Ovis aries: one gene and its partners. The protein of the gene in region 3 binds, or shares a complex with, the protein of the main gene of each other region. Links are inferred from orthologs where the notes say so. Each region holds a gene or a part of one and is shown on either strand. Other genes may lie near its edges. The genes, in order: STK26, STK24, STRN and STK25.

What was found.
Region 1: STRN (region 3) and STK26 share a complex: the UniProt entries of both Homo sapiens proteins name them as parts of the core of STRIPAK complex. The link is inferred for Ovis aries from reciprocal best matches to the Homo sapiens genes STRN and STK26.
Region 2: STRN (region 3) and STK24 share a complex: the UniProt entries of both Homo sapiens proteins name them as parts of the core of STRIPAK complex. The link is inferred for Ovis aries from reciprocal best matches to the Homo sapiens genes STRN and STK24.
Region 4: STRN (region 3) and STK25 share a complex: the UniProt entries of both Homo sapiens proteins name them as parts of the core of STRIPAK complex. The link is inferred for Ovis aries from reciprocal best matches to the Homo sapiens genes STRN and STK25.

The regions. Positions count from the first base shown.
Region 1 is NC_056080.1:102,852,164-102,858,341, reverse strand, and holds the start of STK26 (serine/threonine-protein kinase 26), read left to right. Parts: upstream 1-2,793; 5' UTR 2,794-2,928; intron 2,929-3,030; 5' UTR 3,031-3,139; coding exon 3,140-3,181; intron 3,182-6,178. UniProt on the Homo sapiens protein: Serine/threonine-protein kinase that acts as a mediator of cell growth. Modulates apoptosis. In association with STK24 negatively regulates Golgi reorientation in polarized cell migration upon RHO activation.
Region 2 is NC_056063.1:74,890,109-74,896,156, reverse strand, and holds the start of STK24 (serine/threonine-protein kinase 24), read left to right. Parts: upstream 1-2,424; 5' UTR 2,425-2,786; coding exon 2,787-2,828; intron 2,829-6,048. UniProt on the Homo sapiens protein: Serine/threonine-protein kinase that acts on both serine and threonine residues and promotes apoptosis in response to stress stimuli and caspase activation.
Region 3 is NC_056056.1:87,162,354-87,167,740, forward strand, and holds part of STRN (striatin), read left to right. Parts: intron 1-3,076; coding exon 3,077-3,252; intron 3,253-5,038; coding exon 5,039-5,086; intron 5,087-5,387. UniProt on the Homo sapiens protein: Calmodulin-binding scaffolding protein which is the center of the striatin-interacting phosphatase and kinase (STRIPAK) complexes.
Region 4 is NC_056054.1:369,002-374,388, forward strand, and holds part of STK25 (serine/threonine-protein kinase 25), read left to right. Parts: intron 1-2,521; coding exon 2,522-2,752; intron 2,753-3,255; coding exon 3,256-3,312; intron 3,313-3,896; coding exon 3,897-4,005; intron 4,006-4,472; coding exon 4,473-4,630; intron 4,631-4,740; coding exon 4,741-4,926; intron 4,927-5,290; coding exon 5,291-5,387. UniProt on the Homo sapiens protein: Oxidant stress-activated serine/threonine kinase that may play a role in the response to environmental stress.

The DNA of each region.
Region 1 (6,178 bases), on a different chromosome or scaffold from region 3:
ATCCTCTGTCATCCCCTTCTCCTCCTGCCCCCAATCCCTCCCAGCATCAGGGTCTTCTCCAATCAGTCAACTCTTCGCATGAGGTGGCCAAAGTAATTACAAGTAACTCCATGTAAAAACCCAAGAGATATCTATCAATAATAACAACAAAGAGTTTATTTAATAGCACAAAAGCTAGAGAAAGGTAGAAAGTTCAGCAAGATCTCAAACGCAGTGTTTCTAAGGAAATGCCTCGATAGTTCAGGTCTCAAAATGTAGCATTCAGTCTTCCACATGCTTATATAACTCTAGCACAAAATCATGTCAGGAAAAGTCACTTCGTACATATGTTTACATTATTTATTAAAGTTATACAACTTGCCCTTTTAAGTAGTTGTGAAATTAAAGTAACAGAAAAGAATTTAGAAGACAAAAAAATGAGAGTTGAACCAGGCTATCAATAAAACACTATACCAACTAGCACTATACCAAACTCAGCGAAGAATTGAAAGGAAATCCATCCGTTCATTCATTCAATGAATATCTACTGAGGGTTTCCTGTGTGCCATACATTGTTCTAGGCTCTGAGGATACTGCAATGAACATAACCAACATAAATCTTGCCCTCAAAAAGCTGACATTCTATCCAAATAATTCTTATGTGAGAAGCAAATGAAATGCATGATATAAGAGAAAAGAACTACAATGTGAGTGCTGCTCCCACCAACATGCAATAGGAAGAGTCTGAAAGAAGGCCTGTAGCAACACAGAAGAATCAGTGGGGTTGGGACATGAGATGGGCCTTAAATGATGGAGCTTGATTCAGACCCTTGCTACTGAAGGTGTGGTCTAAGAATCAGCACTATCGTACCACCCAGGGACCGGTTAGCAATGCAGAATCTTGGACCCACTCCAAGCTTGCTAAATCAAAATCTGCACTTTAAAAAGAATCCCAGGGAACCACTATGGAGTTTACATGACACTGTAGGTTTCTGGTCAGGCTGGCATTAAGTGTGAACTGGGATGGTGGGAAATCCAGACTGGATTGAGGCCTATCGTCAGGTTGGAAGTACGGAGGGCCTGGAATTGAGGATATCCTTTATCATCTGAATGGATATAGAAAGTGTGCTGTATATACATGCAAAGGAATATTATTAGGCTATAAAAGGAAATCCTGCCATTTGTGACAATGTGGATGGACTTTGAGGGCGTTATGCTAAGTGCAATGTCAGACAGAGACAGACAAATACTATATGATCTCACTTACACAGGGAATCTAAAAAAATACCAAACTTACAGACACAGAGGGTAGATTGGTGGTTGCCAGGGGAGGGTGATGCAGGAAACAGGTAAAGGTGGTCAAAGGGCTCAAATCTCCAGTTAGAAGATTGTTACATTCTGGGGATGTGATGTATGGCACTGTGACTTATAGTTAACAATACTGTTCTGTATACTTGACAGTTGTTAAGAGAGCAGATCTTAAAAGTCAGAAGGACCTGAGTTTGAATTCCCAGCCCTCCCACTTCTTAATTATGTGATATTTGGGTCAAATTATTCAAGCTCACTGAGCCTTTTTTTGCATTTCAGTAAAATGGAAGAAAGGTAATATGACCTCAGAGGGCCCTTGTGAAGATTCAGTAAGGCAAGACACACACACACACACACACACACACGCACACACACACATAGCACTTAGCGGTCCCTGACAGAAAATGGAACTCATTAACGATAGCTAAATATATTGATAACAATGACATGCTATCTTTTGAGACAGATTCAAAAGGAACAAGAGAAACATTTCTCGTCTGCCAGAGCCCCAACACCATGGTGGGTACAGCCCTACAATAACCTGCAAGTCAGGGAACTCCATCCTCATTTTAAACTGGCACTTGTGGTTTCCCAAAGGTGCCTTCCTAATGAGATGACTGCAATTGCTATTATTATTATTTTTAATCTCGTTACTGTTAGGTTACTCTCCGAAGAGTCTACCTCCCTGCTGGAGTGGAACTTCAAATGGGGTGGAGGCAGGGACTTGCCGAAACCACTGCTCTGTATGCTGAATTCAATAATACGTCCTGCGAATGACCCAATCTCATTTCCCAGGCCTCTATTTCCTCATTCATTTTTCTGCCTAGGTGCCATCTGTTTTCCAACTTCCGTCTCTCTTACACGTGCTTGTGATGCGGAGAAGCCCCAGTCTGATCGCCCTCCCCCACAACCGCCCAACTGGTAGCCCAAGAGGTAGGGGTAACCCCAGTTCTAAGGCACCTGAAGCCTGACGGGGGGCGGGGAATCCGGAAAGAGGAGAGCGGCCACGGACCCCGCCCAGCGGCGCGGCCCCAGCTGGGGACACGCGGGGGAGAGCAGGGGTCCGCTGACTCGGACTCGGCGGCTCTCTGCGCCCCCGCCCTCGACCACGTCGAGGACTCGAGAAGGAATTCCGACGCCCGCCAAGTTTCAACTCAACACTTCTCCGAGGCTGCGCCGCCCGTGCCCTCGCAAGCCTGCCTGCAACGTGGCCGCGCCCGGGACGCCCTCGGACCCCGCGGGTCACCCGAACTCTTCCCTTCTCTCTCCAGGCCGAGCCGTGCTCCACGCCCTCCAGTCCCCGAGCTCTCCTCTCCGTGGGCCAGGAGAGCCTCCCTCTTGTCGGGCTCCAGGAGCCCCAGCCGAGCCCCTTCCCAGCGCAGTCCTAGCTCTCCTGACACCGCCCGGCGGCGGGGCGGGGGCAGGGCCAGCGGCGGAACCGCCCCCAACCGCCTCCCGGGCCCGGCGAGCGGGCGGGTGGCTGGGGCGCCTCCACCTCCTCTTCCTAAAGCGGCGAGGCGCAGACGAGCGGCATCACTGGAGCCCAGGTCCCGGCCACTGCCACACACGGCGTCGGGCGCTCAGGAGCAACAGCAGCGGCAGCGGAGGCGGCGGCCAGAGCGGCGGGCGGGCGCCAGAAAGGTAGACTGAGTCCCGGGGAGCCTCGCGGCGGACCGCCCACCTCCCGGCCCCGGGCCGCGCGCGCCCCCCGCCCTGTCACCCAACTCGTGTGTGTCCTTCCAGGCCCGGGTCGAAAAGCCTGAGAGGGCCGCCGACCTACCCCCGGAGGAGGAGCCAGTCGCAGCCCGAGGCGCCGCCGCCGCCGAAGCCGCGCGGAGCCGCTTTCGCCTTCATGGCCCACTCACCGGTGGCGGTCCAAGTGCCCGGGATGCAGGTGAGGACGCCCGGGCCGCCCCCGCCGTCCACGTGACTGCCCGGGAGCTCGGGGCGCGCTCCGCGCTGGGCGCCGGCGACGAGAGGCGGCCCGGGGCTTCCCCGACCGAAGCCGGGCCGGGCGCTCCGGCCAGGTGACCCGGACGGAGAGCTCTCGGTGTTTCCCGGCGTGTAAGCTAGGCGGTGCAGTGTGCCGGCCGGGCGCGGAGGGACTGGGGCGCGCGGCTCTTTGGGGATGCCGGGGGCTGCGGGGGGGGTGTTAAAACAGGCAGGGGCGGGACACCTGCGCCGGCTGAGCTGGTGCGCTTGTGGGGGTGGGAATGGAAGCACTTCACTTGGAAGAGATGGAGGTGTCTCGGAATTCGTTGGGTAAAACGCAAGTGGTGCTTACACACACACACAAGTTGGGGCGGAGCAAGGCAAGGGGGTGTCGGTGGTGGCGGCTTTGAATTGGGCTCTTCCTGTGTGCGTAGAGCAAAGAGCGAGGTGACTTTTTTCCCCTTTTGGGGCTGCTGCTTTGGGGCCAAGTTGTGTCTCGCTCCCCCCACCGGGCGCAGCCCGTAGTGGGGTGTGAGAAACGCAGGGTCCTAAGTTAGAGCAGCGGTGGTGATGACTCTCCCGCCCCCGCCCCCGCCCCCGCCCCCGCCCCCGCCCCCGCCCCCAGCCTTTCCCACCGGAGGGCTGTGGCAGTGTGGTTGTTGCAAAGCTTTTTGTCCTGGACGACAAGATATTACGGCCTGGGACCTAACTTTTTATCTTTTACATCTTACCAGCCCTCCCCCCTTACATTTTCATTTTATTAAAGAAGAAACAAGCTATGTCCACAAACTTTCTGCATTGTTAGGTTTTTGAATCGGTGCATTTCAAGCTATCTACTAAATGTTATCCAAGTTGAGTAGCTTTTAAGCATTCACGTTTTATTTTTTTTCCTTTGCTAGACAGCCTAAACACCCCCACTTATGAATAGGTAAAAGACTAGAAGCACTTAAGCCTCATTATCTTCTAAAAATGTGAAAGCAAACGTTTTCTAAGTTCAGAAAAAAATGTTTGGTAAATAGCTATGTTGCTAGTAGAAATCAAAGCGCCATGGATTGGGGCCTTAATTTACTAAATAATGCATGGAATTCATCTTAAAAAAAATAACAGTTGGTCATATTTGATGCATGATCACACGAAAAAAGTGATTTTTAAAGTGCTTTCCCCCCAAAGGACTGTTTGTATCGGACATATATCTAACTTAGGACTCCTGTGTGTCCTAGGCACCAGGCCTTTCAGCTAAATATAGGATAAGTCTGGGTTGAGTCCCAGGAAATCGATGTAGTTCATTAAAAAAAAAAAAAAAAAAGAAAAGGAAGCAAAAGGGAAATGCGAGACATTAGGGCCTTTTAAAAGGTTAATCCATTCAAGCTTTACAAAATGCCTCAAACTTCCTTCTTCTCACGCCACCCTCTCCTTCCCTCCCTCCTTCCCCCCAGCCACTGCCCCTCACCCCATTCATTCAGTTCTGCCTTTGATTATGTCGAGAGAATTAGTAGTTTGCCTTATCAACTACAGTTTTGCTCTGTCTGATGTGGAAGAAAGTGGGGAAACTTTCCCACCGTGCTCTCCTTTCCTTTGGGGAGTAGAAGAGTCCGCATGTGAAGTTTGTCTCTGAGTGTCTCAGTACTCCTCGCTCCATTGTGTGCACGCGCTGCCTGCGTGCGTGCGTCAGCAGAGTGAGCACCTCCCGATCAAGTTTGATTCTGGGGAACCCTGCGTGCTGAGGAGAAAATGGTTTCTGGTCTTTATTTCATTTGTCTTGACTTTATTTGATTTATATGGTTTCTGGTCCTTATTTGATTTGGCTTTATTTGATTTACATGGTTTAGGAACTCCTTACTGTTCAGTATTTCTTATGGCTCCTTGCTTTGTTTCATTATCTGATTTCCCTATCTTTTGAATTTTTTAATTTTTAAAAATCTTCATTAAGGTGGGTTAGAATGTGAGTCTCATATTTTAAATGATAAATTCTGCCTTTCATTTTATTCCTACCCAAAGTTGTGATGGCTTTGGGAAGGGCAATCATCTCAACATTTGCCAAGAAGAGAGGAATACTTGTCACTGTCTCTGTCTGAATGAAATGGTAAATTCTTACCTTCTTATTTCCATGCTCTCTGTAGATGTGGTTCTTAAGCATTTGGGGCAACAAACAGGTTTTCCACAGTTAAAATTGTGGGGTATCCTAAAAACAAATTTGATGATTAGCAGCGTGACTCTCATGCCTAGACTACTGTGACTATTCTTTTGTTTAAAAGTAGTGAAAATGAGATGCAGGAATATATCACGAGCTTGTAAAAATTTTTTCTGCAAGAGTTAGGAGCAACTTTTAGATCTTCACAGTAGTGAGAAAACTTGAGTTAGCCATGTGTTCCTGAAATTAATGTATAGTATTTCCACAAATCAGGGTGAAGTGGTCGACCGGCCAGTAACTTTTTAACAGTTTATTTTAGGGAATTATGAAGATTGATGGAAAAATGATTTTTCCAGAAATAAAAACAAAATTACTTTACCCGCAGTGTTTTTCTCCCCCTGAGGAGAGACGTGAAGTCGAGCTACCTGTTCTATCACTTAAGACTTCCAGCATTCCTGACATTCAAACAAAGAAATTTCTGTTGCCTCTAGTTTAAAATAGAAAAGAAACTTGGAGTGACGAAAGAAAACCCAGGATTTGGTCCAGTTAAAACCCTTCCTTATGAATTAGTTATTCAGACTCGTATTGTTAATATTTCTTAATATTGTGGTAATGAAATGTTTGCCATATTACACCAAATGTAAAGGATATGAATTTTTTGATGCTTAATTTGTGCTTATTTCTGTAGTATATCGCTAAAGGAATTTTCCATACCAGGAGCTGAACTCTTGAAAAATATTTAAAGCACAACTTAAACAAAATAAACCAACAAACCTGTTTCTTTCCACTCAAATATTTACTCTTTAATGATTTAAAACATGTTGTTTC
Region 2 (6,048 bases), on a different chromosome or scaffold from region 3:
CACTAGACTACCAGGGAAGTCCCCTGAATACTTCTTATGCCTAGATTACTATGCACCCCTGCTGCCCCCGGATCATTTGTTGGAAACTAGCCCACTGCAAAGTGGGCCCAAGGGTTCTTTGAATTTCTTATGCTACTGCCTCAGATCAGTGCCTGGATATTCCTGTTCACTCATCCTATTTCTTCCTCATCTAGCTGCCATGTTATTGGCCTGGTGGCTGACCCTAGTTCAGTTCAGTCGCTCAGTTGTGTCTGACTCTTTGCGACGCCGTGAATCACAGCACACCAGGCTTCCCTGTCCATCACCAACTCCCAGAGTTCACTCAAAGTCATGTCCATCGAGTCAGTGATGCCATCCAGCCATCTCATCCCCTACTCCTCCTGCCCCCATCCCTCCCAGCATCAGGGTCTTTTCCAATGAGTCAACTCTTTGCATGAGGTGGCCAAAGTACTGGAGTTTCAGGAGAGACCTATTAGCACGATGGTCTCTATTGGTTGAATACTAACTAAAAAAAAAAAAAATCATCTTTAATTCCAGGGCTAGCCACTGCTAAATCCTGGGGCATATACTTCCAGGTTTTTCTCTATTTATACATTTACACACAAAATTATATACATCCACACACACACACACACACACACACATATATATGAAGGGTTATATATTTAAATATAACTTCATATATATGAAGTAACTTGAGATCAGACTGCTTTCTACCCTGCATTTCCTTAACAATATATCTTGAAAATATTTTCCCGTGTTAGTAAATATTGAAGTACATCACTTTAAATGACTGTATGACTATATTATCATTTAAGTAAGTCTCAGACTTTTAATCGGTTCCCAATTTTACCACCATCATAAATATCACCACATTGCATTTTTTATATCCATTCTTCTGCACTTCTCCGTTGTTTCCTTAGGAAAATGCCTGGGTTAAAGATGAACATTTTTTAATATTCACACGCTTGTCTGATCTGCCGTCTGTCTCTTTATGTACGCTTTTTGTGTGTGTGTACACAAAATTTACACAAGCCGGTGAGCGCCCTAAGCATCAGGGTTCATGCTTTTTTTTTAAAGTTTGTATTTGCTCTATTCTCTTCACAGTATTTGGGGGTGGCAGGGTTTCAGGGCTCAGTGACGGTCGCACACCAGGGACCACCGTGAGGTATCTGAAAGTATCCTGGAAGATGCTGAGGATACAAAACATGCATAATTTCCCAAAGGAAAGCGGGGAGTAGGTTTTTAAGTCATTGCTTATCTGATCCAGAGCACCGCAGGGAACTCTGAATCCAGTTGACACCTCTAAGAAACACCCCTCATTCGGTGGAGGGCTTTTCAACTTCTTCCAGCGGTCTGCGAACTCTATGGGCTAATTTTTGGAGGTCCAGCCTCACCCAGCCTTGGTGCAACGTCATTCACGGGCACGAATGTAGACGTCGGGGTCCTAGCAACCCCAGCTGCAGCCGGTCCCTTCAGGGGACTGCCGCTGTTGGTCGTTGTAAACAAACTACTACTTTCTGGAGGCAGCAGTGACTCACTCCTTCTTGCTTCTTTCCTCTGGAGTCGGAGGAGAGGTGACCAGAAGGTGGAGGCAGCCGAAAGAGCGGGAGAGAGGCAGGGGAAAGTCTAGACATCGTTTCCTTCCATTGTCTTCCCTTCCTCCTCGGCCCTCCCTGCCCGCTTCTCCCTTCTGGTGGGTGGACGTCCCCCGCCCCCACGCCTTGGTCCGGGGCCCAGAGACGATGGGGTTCAGCCCCCTCACTGTTTGTTGGCTAAGTTCACAGCTCCTAGTATTCCAAGTGCTTTCAAGCAGCCAAAGCACGGGAAACGAACCGCTTTCGGCCTCTCCCCTCCCGGAGGGCTTCCTCCTTGGGTTGGTTTGGAAACTTCACCCGGACACCGAAGAAGCTCCGCCCCGGTAGTTTTGAACCGGCCGCTGGCCGAGGCCCCCGCCGGGTCCCCAGGCTCTGCCCTCGGGGAAGTGGCCTGGGGCCCGTCGCCAGGCCGAGAGGGGTGGGCTTCTTTGGAAGGCAAGCCCAGATCCCCCGGGGCGTCCGACCGGCCCGGGCCTGCAGGGCGGGGTGGGCGCATGGCCCATCCCTGACTCCGAAGACCCGCGCCCTCCCATCTCACCACCGGGGGGGACCCCTGCCCCCCGCTAACTGAGGCCCCTAGCCCCGCACCCGCCCGCGCGTCCCCCTCCACCTGGTCTAGCCCGCGGGAGCCGCGCGGACCTCTACCCGGCCCGGCCCGGCGGCGGCGCGGACCGCTGCGGCCTAGGGCGCCGGGCGGCCGCGAGCCTCCTCCCCCTCCCGGAAGCGCGGGGCGGGGTCCCCGGCCCGGCCGCGGGGGCGGGCGCGGGGGCCGGGCCGGGGCGGGGCGCGCTCGGCGCTCGCGGGCTCGGCCGGCGGTGCGCGCCCCACTCCAGCTCCAGGCGCCAGCGCGCGGGCCCAGGCCGCCCGGTTCCAGTCCAGCAGCAGCGGCGGCGGCGGCGGCGGCGGCAGCAGCAGCAGCAGGGCGGCCGCTCGTAGGGAGGCCCCGCGCTCCTCGCAGCCCGTCCCCGGCGCGGTGCATGGAGACGAGGCCCGCCACCCGCCCCTGAGCCCGCCGCCCGGCCCAGGACCCACGGGGGGCTAGGGTGGCCTCGGGCTCCGGCCGGCCGGCCCCCCATCTCCCGCCCCCGGCCGCCCGAGGAGGGCTGCGCGCGGCCCGCGGGCCTCGTCGCCCGCGCGGATCGCCGCGGCCCGGCCGTCCCGTCCCAGGAAGTGGCCGTCCTGACCGCCATGGCTCACTCCCCGGTGCAGTCGGGCCTGCCCGGCATGCAGGTACAGGCAGGAACCGGGCCGCCGAGGGGCGGGAGGGATGCGCGGGCCGGGGCGGAAGCGGGGAACTTGGCGGTGTAAACACGGCCGCTCCCCCAACCCCCAGTTCCCCCGAACGCTGCCCCTTCCGGGGTCGCGCCGGCCTCCCGCGCCGCGCTCGCCGCCTCCGGGGCGTCCTGCCCGGCCCCGCGGCCCGGGTCTCGCGGGTGGGGTGGGGGTCGTGAAGGGACCTGGGGGGCCGCGGCCCGGAGGCGGCCCTCGCGGGCCGGGAGTCCCGGTGGTCCGGGGAGGGGAGAATGTGCGCTGCTGGCCCAGTCGCCCTCCTCGCGTCCCCCTCCCGAGCAGCAGGCCCCGCGCCGGCCCATCCCCTGGGAAGAAGTGATGTGGAGAAATGCCCTTGGAGGCCCGGCTCGTTCTCGGGGCCCGGGTGCGGGCTAGGGGTGGGCAGCGGTGGAGGCCCTTGTCCCTCCCCACCCCCCCTACCCCGGAGAGGGGGCCCCCGGGCGCGCCCCGGCTCGTCCCGGCCCGGCGGGTGGAGGAGACAGGGCGGGGAGAGGAAGGGGTAAGCGCCAGCTCCGCTTTCAGCGCGTTGCTCCGCGCGCTTCCTCCCGGTGCAGACGGACGGGAAGGTGCGAAGCCTGGAAGTCCGTTCTGGAAGGGAGGAATCGATCGGACAGCTTGCACTCGGACAGCGTGGGTCCCGGGACTCTGGGCTGGACTTGGAAACTCGATTGGATCCGACCACGGAGAGTCCCTTCCCACTAACCCTCTCCGTGGCTTCTTTGTGGCCTGTTGGCCTCCCAGCGGCTTAATAATTTTTTTCTGGAGTGGGGGCGAGGATGCATCAAAGAAAGTTTTTCGCCTTCGGGGATTATGTTTAGGCGTTTGAAAAATAAAAACCACCTTCCTCGGCTAGTTTGTGATGTGTATAAACGGGTAAATGGTGGCAAATGTTTGGGATTAAAAATCTCAACGGAACGGTTACGGTATCTCTCAAAAGTTTTGTTCCCCCCAGGTTAGCCGGGCGAGGGAACGTACGAACTTTAAGAAAACAATCACAAGTATCCGAGTGGATTATTTGTATTTTAGTGTTCAACGTACTGTTTCGTTTTTGTTTTTTTTTTTCCTCCCCTTCCTCTTGAGGGCTGAGAAGTATTTGGACCACATGGGAGCCAGGAATCTGCCCCCTCATTCGAGAGAGATCTTTTCTCTCTCTAAATCCGAAGTAGAAAACTCGACTTCATTGTTCAGGTTTGATATCTAGAAAAAAGTTACCGGGATTTTAGCTTTTTTTTAAAGTGGAGTGACAATTAACATTAATAACTTTACTGTACTTAAAAAGAAAACTGTCCTTGAACCTCCTGTAAAGAGCTTTTAAACAACACGCATTAAAAAACCTAAGCTACTGCTGACCGCTAGGTAGAAATCAGATGTGGTTTCTTGGTATTTCCTAAAATTCCTGCTTTGGTTTGGTTTGAATTTAGAGACAGGAAAGCAGGGTGAACTGGGTAAAAATGTATTTCTGACCAGTAGAGCAAGAAGGACCTCTTGTAATGATTTGGAAAAAAAAAAACCCCCCACCAAGAACCATATTTGGTCAGTACTTTCTTGAGATATACTCTTATGCTGTTAATTAGGTTGTATGTAGTCTGGTACACATGCCTTGCTCAGTACTACTGTGGAGGTGTAGTCAGCCTTTGTGGAAAGGGAATCTATTTAAAAAGGTACTTAAAGCTTCTCTGGCTGATGCCCTCCAGTCAGTATCAGATGGTCACCAGGTCAGGTGGTTATCTAGTCTCAACACTTTTTTTTTTGTCCTCACCTTTCAATTTTTTGCTTCAGGAGTGTGGGCCAGAATTCTTAAGTCTTGGATAAGGAAGATTCATTTCTTCAAAAAAGAAAAGCTTGCCTCCCCAAACATATTTCCTCCGTAAAGTTACAAGGGAGCTGTTTTTATTTTGCTTTCTCAGTATAAAGGCTGGTAAGTTTTTATTTGGTTGAAACAACTAGACTTTCAGCTCTTGCAGTTTTAGGGGCGCGAGGTGGCTTTGGACAGAGTCATCCCTGTGTTTGAAGTGCCTCCATACAATCTATGATGTTTGTTTCTGATGTGCCATTTGGGAAGGAATATTCTTTCCTTCTCCCTTCCACTCCAAAAGAAAAACAACACACACATTTTATTTTCTGCTTTGAATCAGCAGCTGCTGCTGCCCAGGGAGGCCTTCCTCAGAGTTGTTATTGAGGATTAACGTAAAGGCACACCTGCCTCAGACGGCTCTCCAGGATAAAACGGGAGGAAAGTGCTAACCCACCTGTGCCCTTGCCCTGTTAATCCCATCTCCCTCCCTTTTTTCCTCTCTCATCTCCTGACCAGGATTTATGTGGAGATGGCTTAAAAATTTCAAGAAAGATAGCAGAGTGGATTCAGGCAGCCCCTAGGCAAAGATCCTTAAAAAAAAAAACAAACCTGATTTAAAAGAATAATTGCAGTTAAAACTTCCTTCTTCATTGTCTTGCAAATCATTTTTATGCCTCTAGATTCTTACTGGTACCACCTGAGGTGCAGGTGTAATTTATGTTATTGTCTAGATGTGGAAACCAGCAGAAACTAATTGAACTGACCCAAGGTGAGAAGGTGCATTATGTGGCAATCTGTGACTAGAGACCAGGTCTTTCCTACTTTTGAACTCATACTCCTACTGGCCTTGCTGAATTAGTCTTATTACTTTAGCAGAAAGTAACATTTGTTTCATCCCAACTTGGGTTTGCAGAAGAAATTAAAATATGAGACTGATATTTTGTTTGTTTGATCAGCAACTGTTACTGAACGCTGTTGTGCCAAGTACTCCATGAGGGGTCGATGGCTGTAAGTCTGAATGAGTTATCCTTTTTAATAACTGTTTCATAAGAGGAGTTGGGGGGGGGGGGACACTTTTCCTTTTTTTTTTTTTTAACCTCCCACATCCCAGTTTCATTAGCATTGGGGAAAAATGGAAATCACTAGCTTAATGTAGTAACTACAAATAGACATAAAGAAATTAGGTTGAGTGGTAGATTTAATAACTCCCTGTCCTTCATTGAACATTTGTTGCTTCTCTCAATTTAATTCAGATTGAAAGAGGGGCAAGCATCAGCTGGAGACAGCAGCACTGATCAGCTTTTAGTTGCAGAAGTTGTAAGTTAGAATTAGATCTTGGTTTATAAATTTCTATCGTGGAATTTT
Region 3 (5,387 bases):
CTAGAAATAATTTCTGGCCTAAGTTTATATCTTTCCACGAAGAGTATATTTTCATTTTCTTCTCTCAGATGTCTGCAACCACTAGAAATCTGGATCACCTGCTTCATTTTTAGTTTTTGAGATGATCTAAAGCTGATCTACAATCTTTTAAGGGCTTTTGTTCTTTTAGTTCACTCTTATGTGTGGGATACAGCTTTCTGAAATCAAAACCTAAAGCCAGATAGTCTGCTAAGCCCTACTTTCTTGGCAGGCCCTGGACATCAATCTATAGCTCTCTGTATTGCAAAGTCATCAGAAACACAGCTCAACCTCTCAGCCATCTCTTCTGCAATCAGTAAACACTCACGGGGGAAAACAGTTCCAGATACCAGGCTCACTTCCGTAGGCCTCTTGTCTTCACCTGGATCCTAGGTTTTTTCCCACGATTTTGTTAGTTATAGATTTTTTTATTCTTAGGTTTGCTATTCTACTTGTCCTCAGTACACAGTTGGTCCTAATGATCTGGTCCATCATGACCAGAAGCAGAAATTCCCATTAGATGCTTTTGTTCCTGCAAAGAGTTTGTCTAATACATAAAGGAATTCAATCCTCTCTCTGGAGAAAGCTCATCCTTTTTTCATAACTTAATTGTTAGAAAACTTAGTGTTAGTCTGTCTCAGTTTCTAAAAGTAGTTCCTAGTTTTATTAAGCATATTAGCAATCTATTGCTGCATAACAACTTGTACCACATTTAACAGCTTAGAAGAACAAACGTTGATATCTCACAGCTTCCATGGGTCAGCAGTCTGGGGACAGCTTAATTATGTGACTGGCTGTTTGTATGGTTGTAATCAAGACATTGACAAGGGCTGCAGTCTTACCTAGACTTGACTTGGGGAAAATTGCTTCCAGGCTCACTCATGTAGTTGTTTGAAGGCCTTGGTTTCTTGCTGACTGTTGTCTGGGAACCAGTTCCTCACCGCATGGACCTCTCTGTGGGCTCCTCAACAGAGCAGCTGGCTTTTCCCAATGTGAGTGCACCTAAAAAGATAGGGAGCAGAAACACTCGAGATGAAAGGTTTTATAACCTAATTTTGGAAGTAGTTTATTCCAACTTCTGCTGTATGCTGTTGATCACAGAGCATGCCTATAATGTGGAAGCGTGAAAGTGTTAGTTGCTCAGTTGTATCCAACCCTTTATGACCCCATGGACTATAGCCTGCCAGGCTTCTCTGTCCATGGGATGCTCTGGGCAAGTATACTGGAGTGGGTAGCCGTTTCCTTCTCCAGGGAATGAACCTGCGTCTCCCACATTCCAGGGAGGTTCTTTACCATCGGAGCCATCAGGGAGGGGGACTACCCAAAGGTAAAAATAGGTGGGGCTGACTGGGAACTTAGTGGCTGCCTACCACATCAAGATAATCAAAGGAATTTAAGTACTCTTCCACATGAAAACCTTTTAGCTCTTTTATAAGAATAAAAGAGGTCAGCTCGGTTGCCCTTGTCGTCCTAACCTTCCTGCCAGCCCTGCCTGCCCTCAAAATAATCGGCCCCATTCTTAGAGTAGTTCCTTGCATAATGTGTTTTGTTTTCACTCATTGCTTCCCAGGTGGCGCTAATGGTAAAGAACCTGCCTGCCGGTGCAGGAGACAAAAGAGACCTGGGTTTGATCCCTGAGTCCGGAAGATCCCCTGGAGGAGGGCATGGCAACCCACTCAAGTATTCTTGCCTGGAGAGCCCCATGGACAGAGAACCTAGTGGGCTATGGTTCATTGGGTCGCAAATAGTCAGACACAACTGGAACAACTTAGCACGCATGAATTGCCCCAGTTGTGACATGTCCTGTCCAGATTTCTCTGCAGATTTTTAAATGTCTGGGTTCTAAATTACAGTTTAATAGTATAGCCTCTGAAACCAGATTGCTTGATTTTGAATCCTGACTCCTCCATTTACTAGATGGCAAGTCACTTAACTTCTCTTTCCCTAAAATGGCTAGTCTGTAAAGTGAGGATACTGTTAATTCCAACATCATAGAGTTGTGAGGATTAAGTGAGTTAATGCTTTTTAAGTCTTTTGAATAATGTAGAAAATAATGAATGCTGTATAGAATATCAGTTGTTGTATCATTGATAATTTTTGTAACTGTGAGTATGGTAACATTTCTCTAATATATTACAAATACTTGCTTAAATCTACCATGATTGTTAGCCTTGGAGTGTGAAGTTCATCCATGGTGCTTGTGTAAAGTCAAACACTATCCTCTTTAGCTTTTCTATTAGTTGGAATGAAAAAACAGTGCATTATTTTTTCAGTTATTGAGATTGAGATTCTGTGGAGAAAGTGAAAGTCACTCAGTTGAGTCCGACTGTTTGTGACCCCATGGACTGTAATCTACCAGGCTCCTCTGTCCATGGGGATTTTCCAGGCAAGAATACTGGAGTAAGTTGCTGTTCCCTTCTCCAGGGAATCTTCCCAACCCAGGGATCGAACCCAGATCTCCCGTGTTGCAGGCAGATTCTGTACCATCTGAGCTACCAGGGAAGCCCTCTGTGGAGAAAAGGAACATAGTAAATATATAATTATGTTCGTAATATCTGATTGTCTTTTCCAATTTTAACATTTTGTTGTCAGTATATAAACTTCATTACCAATTTGAAGAAAATTTAGCTCTTGTCTGAAACCACTGAAAACTTTGAAAGTATCATCATATTCTGTAATGTTAACATGCTTAAAGATAATTTAGTTTTTCAACTCTTAACCAGAATTGCTTTATATTCTATAATTCAGGTTTAAATCACTTGTCTTTTTAAAAAGCATCCTAGTGAAATTTTGTTTTTTGTTACTAAGTTATTTGATCCTCCTTCTATACTGAATTATGTATTTTCTTATTATAGCATTCATATTTCTTCAAAGAAAACCATTGTTGACATATTGCTAATTTTGCCTATTGATTTGGTTATCTGCTTAAAAATTACATTATTTTGAAAGTTGCAAAATAATGGTAGTTTAATGATGAAACAGTAAGAATTAATGCTGAAATACAGTTTTTTCCCTCATTCTGAACTAAGTATATTGGTATCTTTTTTTTCTTTAATAGATAGCAAATAATAAAGATGCATTGAGGAAGACATGGAACCCCAAGTTTACATTAAGAAGTCACTTTGATGGTATTAGAGCTCTCGCTTTCCACCCCACTGAGCCTGTTTTGATAACAGCATCAGAGGATCACACGTTAAAAATGTGGAATTTGCAGAAAACAGCCCCAGCCAAAAAGTGAGAATATTCTACTTTAACTGTATTTGAATAATTTAATTAATATTTTTCAGCAGAGAAAGCCTTACTTTATTATTTGCTGTTAAATTCCTCAAATATCTCTTCTAATTTTTTTCCTTACCATGTTATGTAATTTAGGATGTTTTTGCCTTCATACTCATAAGCTAATTTAGGTTGAAAAACTGACCCTTAGGGAGAAATGGTTTGTGAATGCTGATTATAATCTTTATTTGGTGTTTTAAATAACTTAAATTTTGAGAACCCTTTGTCTGCGCTGGAGGTTTCTGTTGTTGTAAGCAGGCATAGTCATGTTTAAAACCGTCAAACCCCAACCCCAATCCTTCCCCATTGTTTACTAGGTTTGGCCTTATGCTGGAGCCGGTGGGGGCAAGAGACCTCTCTTTGATCCTTTCTTTTGATCTTGACCAAAATGTCTAGACTGAAGGGGTACTGTTGCTGCTCTCACTTATCTGCTAAACTTCCCTTGGCCCCTTGGTTCCTCTGTAAGCACGGACAGACATGAGTTGGTATAAACCCCTTTTATCAGTCACCAAGCTAGTCCTGATCCCACTTGGTACTTTCTCTTTCTTCCTTGGATTACGTGGTCCAGAACCCAGCATCTACCAGCAAGGGCCCTTCTACAGTGATAGATACCTCTTTTTATTAAAGAGTAGAAATGAACGTCAAATGGAGGAGAGGACAGAAGTTTTACTACTGACAGAGAATATCTCCTGCCCAATTTGAAAACAATCAGTGACATTCCAGCTGTCACACCTAGACGTTCATCAGACAGCTCAACTGGATATTGCTAAAACCAAGTGAATCTTCATGTAGATCAGGTGTCTTTAACAGAGAAAGGTATTTCCTGGTTACAAACTGTGCCTTTTGTTCTTCAAGTTCTTTAGTTCACAGTGGGCATCATATTAGATGAGAGAATGTTGAGTATCTCATCATATATTCTTGACTGTAACTTTGAAATATATTGAAATTTCTTGCTGGTGGTAGCTTAGTAATAACACCTTCACAAGCAAGTAACAATAGTCTTTGTTTACCTTTGAACTTAAAACTTTGGAAATGAGGAGAGCTATCATATGCCTATTAAAAAAAAATCTGTAATACAATCCAGTTTCTGTTCTCAGTATGGCCAGCATAAGCCATGTAGAGTACTCATACACTCAGTGTTCTGAGTAGTGAATAATCTGTTCTGATGTTCAAATCTAATGTGGACAGTTTCTGCAGGTATTCAGGACAGACATGTTAATCTTTATGGAAATGCGAGGAAATTAAAGTACCTTTGATTGAAATTCTGTTCTGTATGGTTCTGTCCTACGCTGTTTTACCGTGAAGAATCTCATTTAATCTTGTAAATATTTGCTGTTATCCCTATTTTTATATTTTATATTAAACATAGAGGAATCTAAAGTTTCAAAAGATTAAATAATTTGCCTAAAGTTAGCCAATTAGATACAGAACTGGAAATTAAATCCAGAAATTTATGTCTTCAAAACCCTTCTGTTTTCTCTCCGAGTGAGGCTCTTTCTCCCTTTAATCAAATAGATTAGGACAGTGCTAAAAGTGCTGTAACAGTTACTAAAGAATTTTGTTTCTTGAAGCCACAGAAATATGTGATTGATGTTAGGTAGGCTTTATTGTGTCCTGGGGTTGAGAATTGTATATTACCATAGTGTTGATATTTCTAGGGGCGTTTTTATGACATACATTCAGTCATACTGTTTACTACTGACTTTTAGAATGATAAAAACATCCTCCTTTCTCTCTGATTTAGGAGCACGTCTCTTGATGTGGAGCCTATCTATACATTCAGAGCTCATAAGTAAGTGTGTGCTTTTTCTTTGTGTTAAATCAACATCATTGTAAATCAGCCTGATTAGTATATCTTCTTTCATGTATGTATTTGTCGTATGTGGTATTTTTATTGTATTTGGTAGCATTTTTTTTGTAAATGTAAAAGAAAGTGGCAGATAATGTAATGTTAGTGACAAGTATATCACTACCAAATAGGGATCCTTGCTGAAATTAGGTATTATTCGCATGATGTTTAGATGATGTATATATCTCTCTCTTAAAATGAAGTTGACGCAGTTAAGTTTAACTATTAGAAATCCTGATCTTTT
Region 4 (5,387 bases), on a different chromosome or scaffold from region 3:
AACCCCAGGGCGCCGCGCTGATGCTGCAGGTGGGCCGCTGCAGGCCCGTGCTCCCTCGGACACGTGCGTCTTCCGAGTCCCTGGACTAAGATGCTGGCAGAGAAGTCTGGCTCCAAGTCAAGGGCTGTAGGAACGGCCCCCCGTGTGCGGACGTGGCGCTGTGAGCGGCCCCTCACCTGGGTGCTGGTGGTGCTCGCAGCGGGGCTTGGGTGGCTGCGTCTTGCCCGGGGACGGAGCGGGGCTCAGGGGAGCTGAGGAAGGGACCCCAGAGGAAGGAAGCCCCTTTTGTCCTTTCAGGGGTGGAGACGCTTGGTCTTTGTCGGTGACAGGAAGCCTGACAGGACGTTGTTTTCCTTGAGGTGGTTGTCATCGTGGTCCTGTGAGGCGGTCCCTGTGTGCGTGGGGTGGTGGCCTGCTCCCCGCGGGGGAACCTTGGGCATTGGGCCCCCGCCGGGCTGTGACTCCTGCCCAGGCCTGTGCAGCTGTAGAAGCGCCCTGTGCAAGTGACTGCCACCTGTCGTGGGGTGCATGGGGGCCGCTGGCCAGCCCTCACTTGGGGGGTGATGCCAGCGGCGGGCGTGGTGCTAAGTGGATGTGCAGGCGGCTGAGCGGTGACCGCAGACCGGGCCGCCCCAGGGCAGGTTCAGGGCCCGGTGGTCTGGGCCAAGCGAGCAGGCCGAGCGGCTGTCCAGACCCGGCTCTCACAAGGGCCCCCGCAGCCCGGCCCCGGCCCTGTCTCCCTTCTCCCCCGCGCGGCTGTGAGCAGGCTGTCCCAGGGTGCGCTGCTGGGGCCTCTGTCCACTCAGGCGCCCGGCCTGCAGCCCTGGGGGCCTGAGGCGGCTGCGAGCCGGGCCCGGCCTCTGGTTAGGGCCTGCCCGGGGCCCCCTTCGAGGCTGTGGATAGCTGAGGAGCCAGACCCAACTCTGGCCTGGGCCGGGGGCGGGGGTGCCGCTGGCAGAGGCCCGACGGTGGGAAGGGGAGGCCGAGGGAGCGCTGGGGCACGCCGGTGCCCGTTAGTGCTGCCAGGCCAGCCTGCCCCACGTCTGCACTGAGGCCACCTCGGCGGGAGAGGAGCCTGTCTCCGGAGCACGGGCTGGACCGGAGGTGTGCCCTGGGCTGAGACGGCGTGGGGTCGGGTGGGGCCGAGGGGGAGCAGGAGGCGGCTTCCTGGGCTCCCTGGCTTGGGTCCCTCCTGAGGCTGCCGCCTGCGCCCTCTCCCGCTCACCTGGCGTTCTGAGGTTGGGTGAGCTCTTCCCTGCTGGTGACAGCCCGGGGGAGGCAGCTCTTGGCTGTTTCGGGTTGACATGTCTTCTCGGTCTGGAGCCAGTGGGCCCTGAACTGTGCCCTGCTCGGGGGGAGCCCTGTGCCCCCAGACTCTGCTCAGAGCCTGTGAGTGGCCGCCCTGGCCCAGCCCCCTCAGCGCCAGGGAGCTCGCACGGATGGGTGGGTATGGTGCCGCCTCGGGGGGGTGCCCGGGTGCCCTCGGGGCAGCGGTGCAGTCTGGAGGGAGCTGTGTCTGGTGGACTTGTGGCCCAGCGCGCTTGGGGGACCCTCTCTGCCCCTGTGTGGACCAGATGCCAGGCTCCCTGCTAGCTGACCAGCGCCACTGGGGTCCTGGGTCTCCAGCGCCTGCTGTGGGGGTGCACGGTGACCTCGGCCCCCAGGGGGCCACGCAGGTGGGGGTGAGGGATGCCCCGCTGTCCTCCACGCACAGCCCCACGCTGAGCTGTCTCAGGCCTGGACACTGAGGGTCAAGGTCGAAAGCCAGATTGCTCTGTGGACACCCCTGTGCTGCCGTGTCCTGGCACTGAGCCTGTCTGAGGCTCTGCGCCTTGTCGGGTGGGTCTGTGCTCCAGTCTGAGCCCCAGGTGAGAAGGGTGGTTCTCTGTCCATTTGCACGTCCAGGGGAGTGTGGGTCTCCAGCTCCATGCTGGGGTGAGGGCATCACTCTCCTGAGGACTCTCCTTAAGGGGTGTGGCTTCCAGGTGTGCAGGGAGAACTCAATACCTGTTTTGTTTTTTTCCTTTGATGAATAGGCTTCACTTTTTAGAGCAGTTTTTGGTTTAGAAAGCTGAGAGAGCGAGCTCTTTGCACCCCGCAAGGCTTCCCTGGAGTTGGTTATGACTGATGGCCCAGCGTGGTCAGGCTGTTGCCCACGGAGCCAGCGGCCTGTGAGGCCGGCCCCCTGTGCTCACAGCGTTGCCCAGCACCGTTGTCCAGCTGCCCCCAGCTCCCCGTGCTCCACCTCCTTGTCCCTCCTGATCCATGACTTGCCTCCCTGGGTCCTCCCCACGTCTGGGCTGTGGGCACACAGGGGTGAGCTGCATGGCCCATCTGCCTTCCCTGTGACCCTGGTTTCTTGGCGAGAGCCTCAGCCTCTCAGTCCTCTCTGGGGACGTTTGCCCCTGAGTGGAGGTAACTTTAGGTTTTCTGAATGAAAAGGGATGTAAGAAGCGAGAAGAGGCCCGGGGGGGCTCCCTGGCCATCCGCCCCTGACCCAGCCGCTCGCCCCCGTCCCCAGCACTCGCGAGTGGACCCCGAGGAGCTTTTCACCAAGCTCGACCGCATCGGCAAGGGCTCTTTCGGGGAGGTGTACAAGGGCATCGACAACCGCACCAAGGAGGTGGTGGCCATCAAGATCATTGACCTGGAGGAGGCGGAGGACGAGATCGAGGACATCCAGCAGGAGATCACCGTGCTCAGCCAGTGCGACAGCCCCCACATCACGCGCTACTTCGGCTCTTACCTGAAGGTGCCCCCCGAGACGGCGCCCTGCCCGCACGGGGCCGCTGCTGGGACCCCTGTGGCCAGAGTGGGGACGGGGCTAGCGGGCCCTGTCTGCTCAGGAGGCCTGGCTGGGTCTCTCCCCCCGGGCCCGGTCTGTAGGGCGGGGGTCCCCACGGGAGGCACTGTGGACTGGGCCTCCAGGGGACGACCACGCCCAGGGCCAGGGGCCTGGCTGTGTCCTGAGGGCAGCCTGGGGGTGGCAGGGTGTGAGCAGGGAGCGGCTGGCTCTGGAATGGCCCGTCTGTGCCCCTCCTGGGGCGGGGGGGCCCCCTGGAGCCGGAGCCCTTCCCAGGGGCTTTGGACACGGGCTCGGCCCATCTGCAGTGTCTGCGCAGGGGTGTGGTGAGGGGAGCCGGACGGGCGGCCACCGCTGTTCCCGGTGGGCATCTTGGCTGAGTCAGTACAGCTGGGCGCATGTTGGGCCCTGTGCTGCCTGCTGCCACCTGCTGACACACTTCTCCGCCCCAGAGCACGAAGCTGTGGATCATCATGGAGTACCTGGGTGGCGGCTCCGCCTTGGACCTGGTGAGCTGGGGGGCCCCGGGGGCTGGGCAACCCGGTGGGCAGGGCCAGACTGAAGAAGTTGTCTGGGGGTTGTCCTTGAACCCTGGGTTCCTGTGGCCTCCCCTGCTTCCCTGTCGTGGTGGCTGACTGTTCCTCAGGACCCAGCTGGTGCTGAGGGTTCCAAGTCCTCTGCTGGCCTGTGGGGAGGAGGTTAGACCCCCAGCAGGAGGCTCAGGAGTGTGGCCACGTCCCCGGTGTCAGCTGTTACCTCCCACACAGCTGTCTGAAACTTTAATTTCAAAAGTGGGTGAAGAGGCTTCCCTGGTGGTCCGGGGGCTAAGACGCCACGCTTGTAATGGTCTGGGTTCAATTCCTGGTTGGGGAACTAGGTCCCACGTGTTGCAACTAAGAGTTCACGTGGTGTAACTGAGACCTGTGCAGTCAAAACACAGTGGGTACAGAGAGAGGAGGCGCCCACGCGCAGGGGGTCCCCGCCCTTGGCGCTGAGGCGGGCGTGCTCAGGGTCAGTGCTGGGCCTGGGGTGGTGGGGAGGGGTTGGGCAGGCTCTGTGGGGAGGCCTGAGGCCCAGCTGGCCCCGCCTGCAGCTGAAGCCGGGCCCCCTGGAGGAGACCTGCATCGCCACCATCCTGCGGGAGGTCCTGAAGGGCCTGGAGTACCTGCACTCGGAGCGCAAGATCCATCGCGACATCAAAGGTGCCTTGGGGCGCATGGGGGCGCGGGTGCGGGACCCCGGAGACCTGGCGGTCCCGCTGTTCCCAGTGACAGACAGGGCCGGCTCAGCCCTGTGTCCCTGCACATGGCATAGTGGGCTCCGCACGTAGGCTGGGGGCCCCGACTTAGCCTGTGAACGGGAGGGCTGAGAGCAGCCTTGCGGGTGGACGTGTGGCCAGGCCAGCCTGCAGGGGCGTGACTGGCAAAGCAAGGGAAGTCAGGCCGCCCGCCGCCTGCTGAGCGATCTGGCCGGGAGGGCAGTTCCTGTGCGCAGGGTCTTCAGTGGTGACCGTCATGGGCACTGGGGCCGGCTGAGGGCGCGTGTGCGCCGGCGGCAGTGTGCCATGGCCTTGGGGCTGAGGGCGCACCTCCCTGGGAGACTGGCCGCAGGCTGGGGGGGTGCTTCCTCGGGTGGCACGAAGGGTGACGCCCACGGTCCTGTGTCGCAGCTGCCAACGTGCTGCTCTCAGAGCAGGGCGATGTGAAGCTGGCAGACTTCGGGGTGGCGGGGCAGCTCACGGACACGCAGATCAAGAGGAACACGTTCGTGGGCACCCCCTTCTGGATGGCGCCCGAGGTCATCAAGCAGTCGGCCTACGACTTCAAGGTGGGCTGGGGCGGGGCGGCGGGCGCGGGGGCGGCAGGGCGCGGGCGGGGGCCGGGGGCAGCAGGGCGCGGGCGGCCTGCGCTGCAGCGGCCCTGTGGCTCTCTGTTCAGGCCGACATCTGGTCGCTGGGCATCACAGCCATTGAGCTGGCCAAGGGCGAGCCTCCCAACTCCGACCTGCACCCCATGCGCGTCCTGTTCCTGATCCCCAAGAACAGCCCGCCCACGCTCGAGGGCCACCACAGCAAGCCCTTCAAGGAGTTTGTGGAGGCCTGCCTCAACAAGGACCCCCGATTTGTAAGCGCCTCCTGCCCCCAGCTCGTGAGTGGTGAGGGGGCCTGCATGGCTGAGTGTAGTTGGGGCCCCTGGCACTGGGCTCCAGAGGACAGTTGAGGGGGGTGTGTGCACGCGCATGTGCGTGTATGGAGTGGCGTGCTGGCTGTCTGTAGTGGGAGCTCAGAGGTGACAGGGCCAGAGGCCCCTCCGCTGTGCCAGGGCGGGCTCCTCTGTGCCCCCAGCCCAGGCCAGGAGGGTCTGGAGGGAGGCCCTTCCCCTGGGGAAGACAGTGTGGAGCCACCCAGCCCCCCTAGGCGCCCCTGCCACCTGGGGTCACCTAGGCTCAGCTGCCCGGCGCCTGGTGACCCCTGTGCGTCCCCGGCAGCGGCCCACCGCCAAGGAGCTCCTGAAGCACAAGTTCATCACGCGCTATACTAAGAAGACCTCTTTCCTCACGGAGCTCATCGACCGCTACAAGCGCT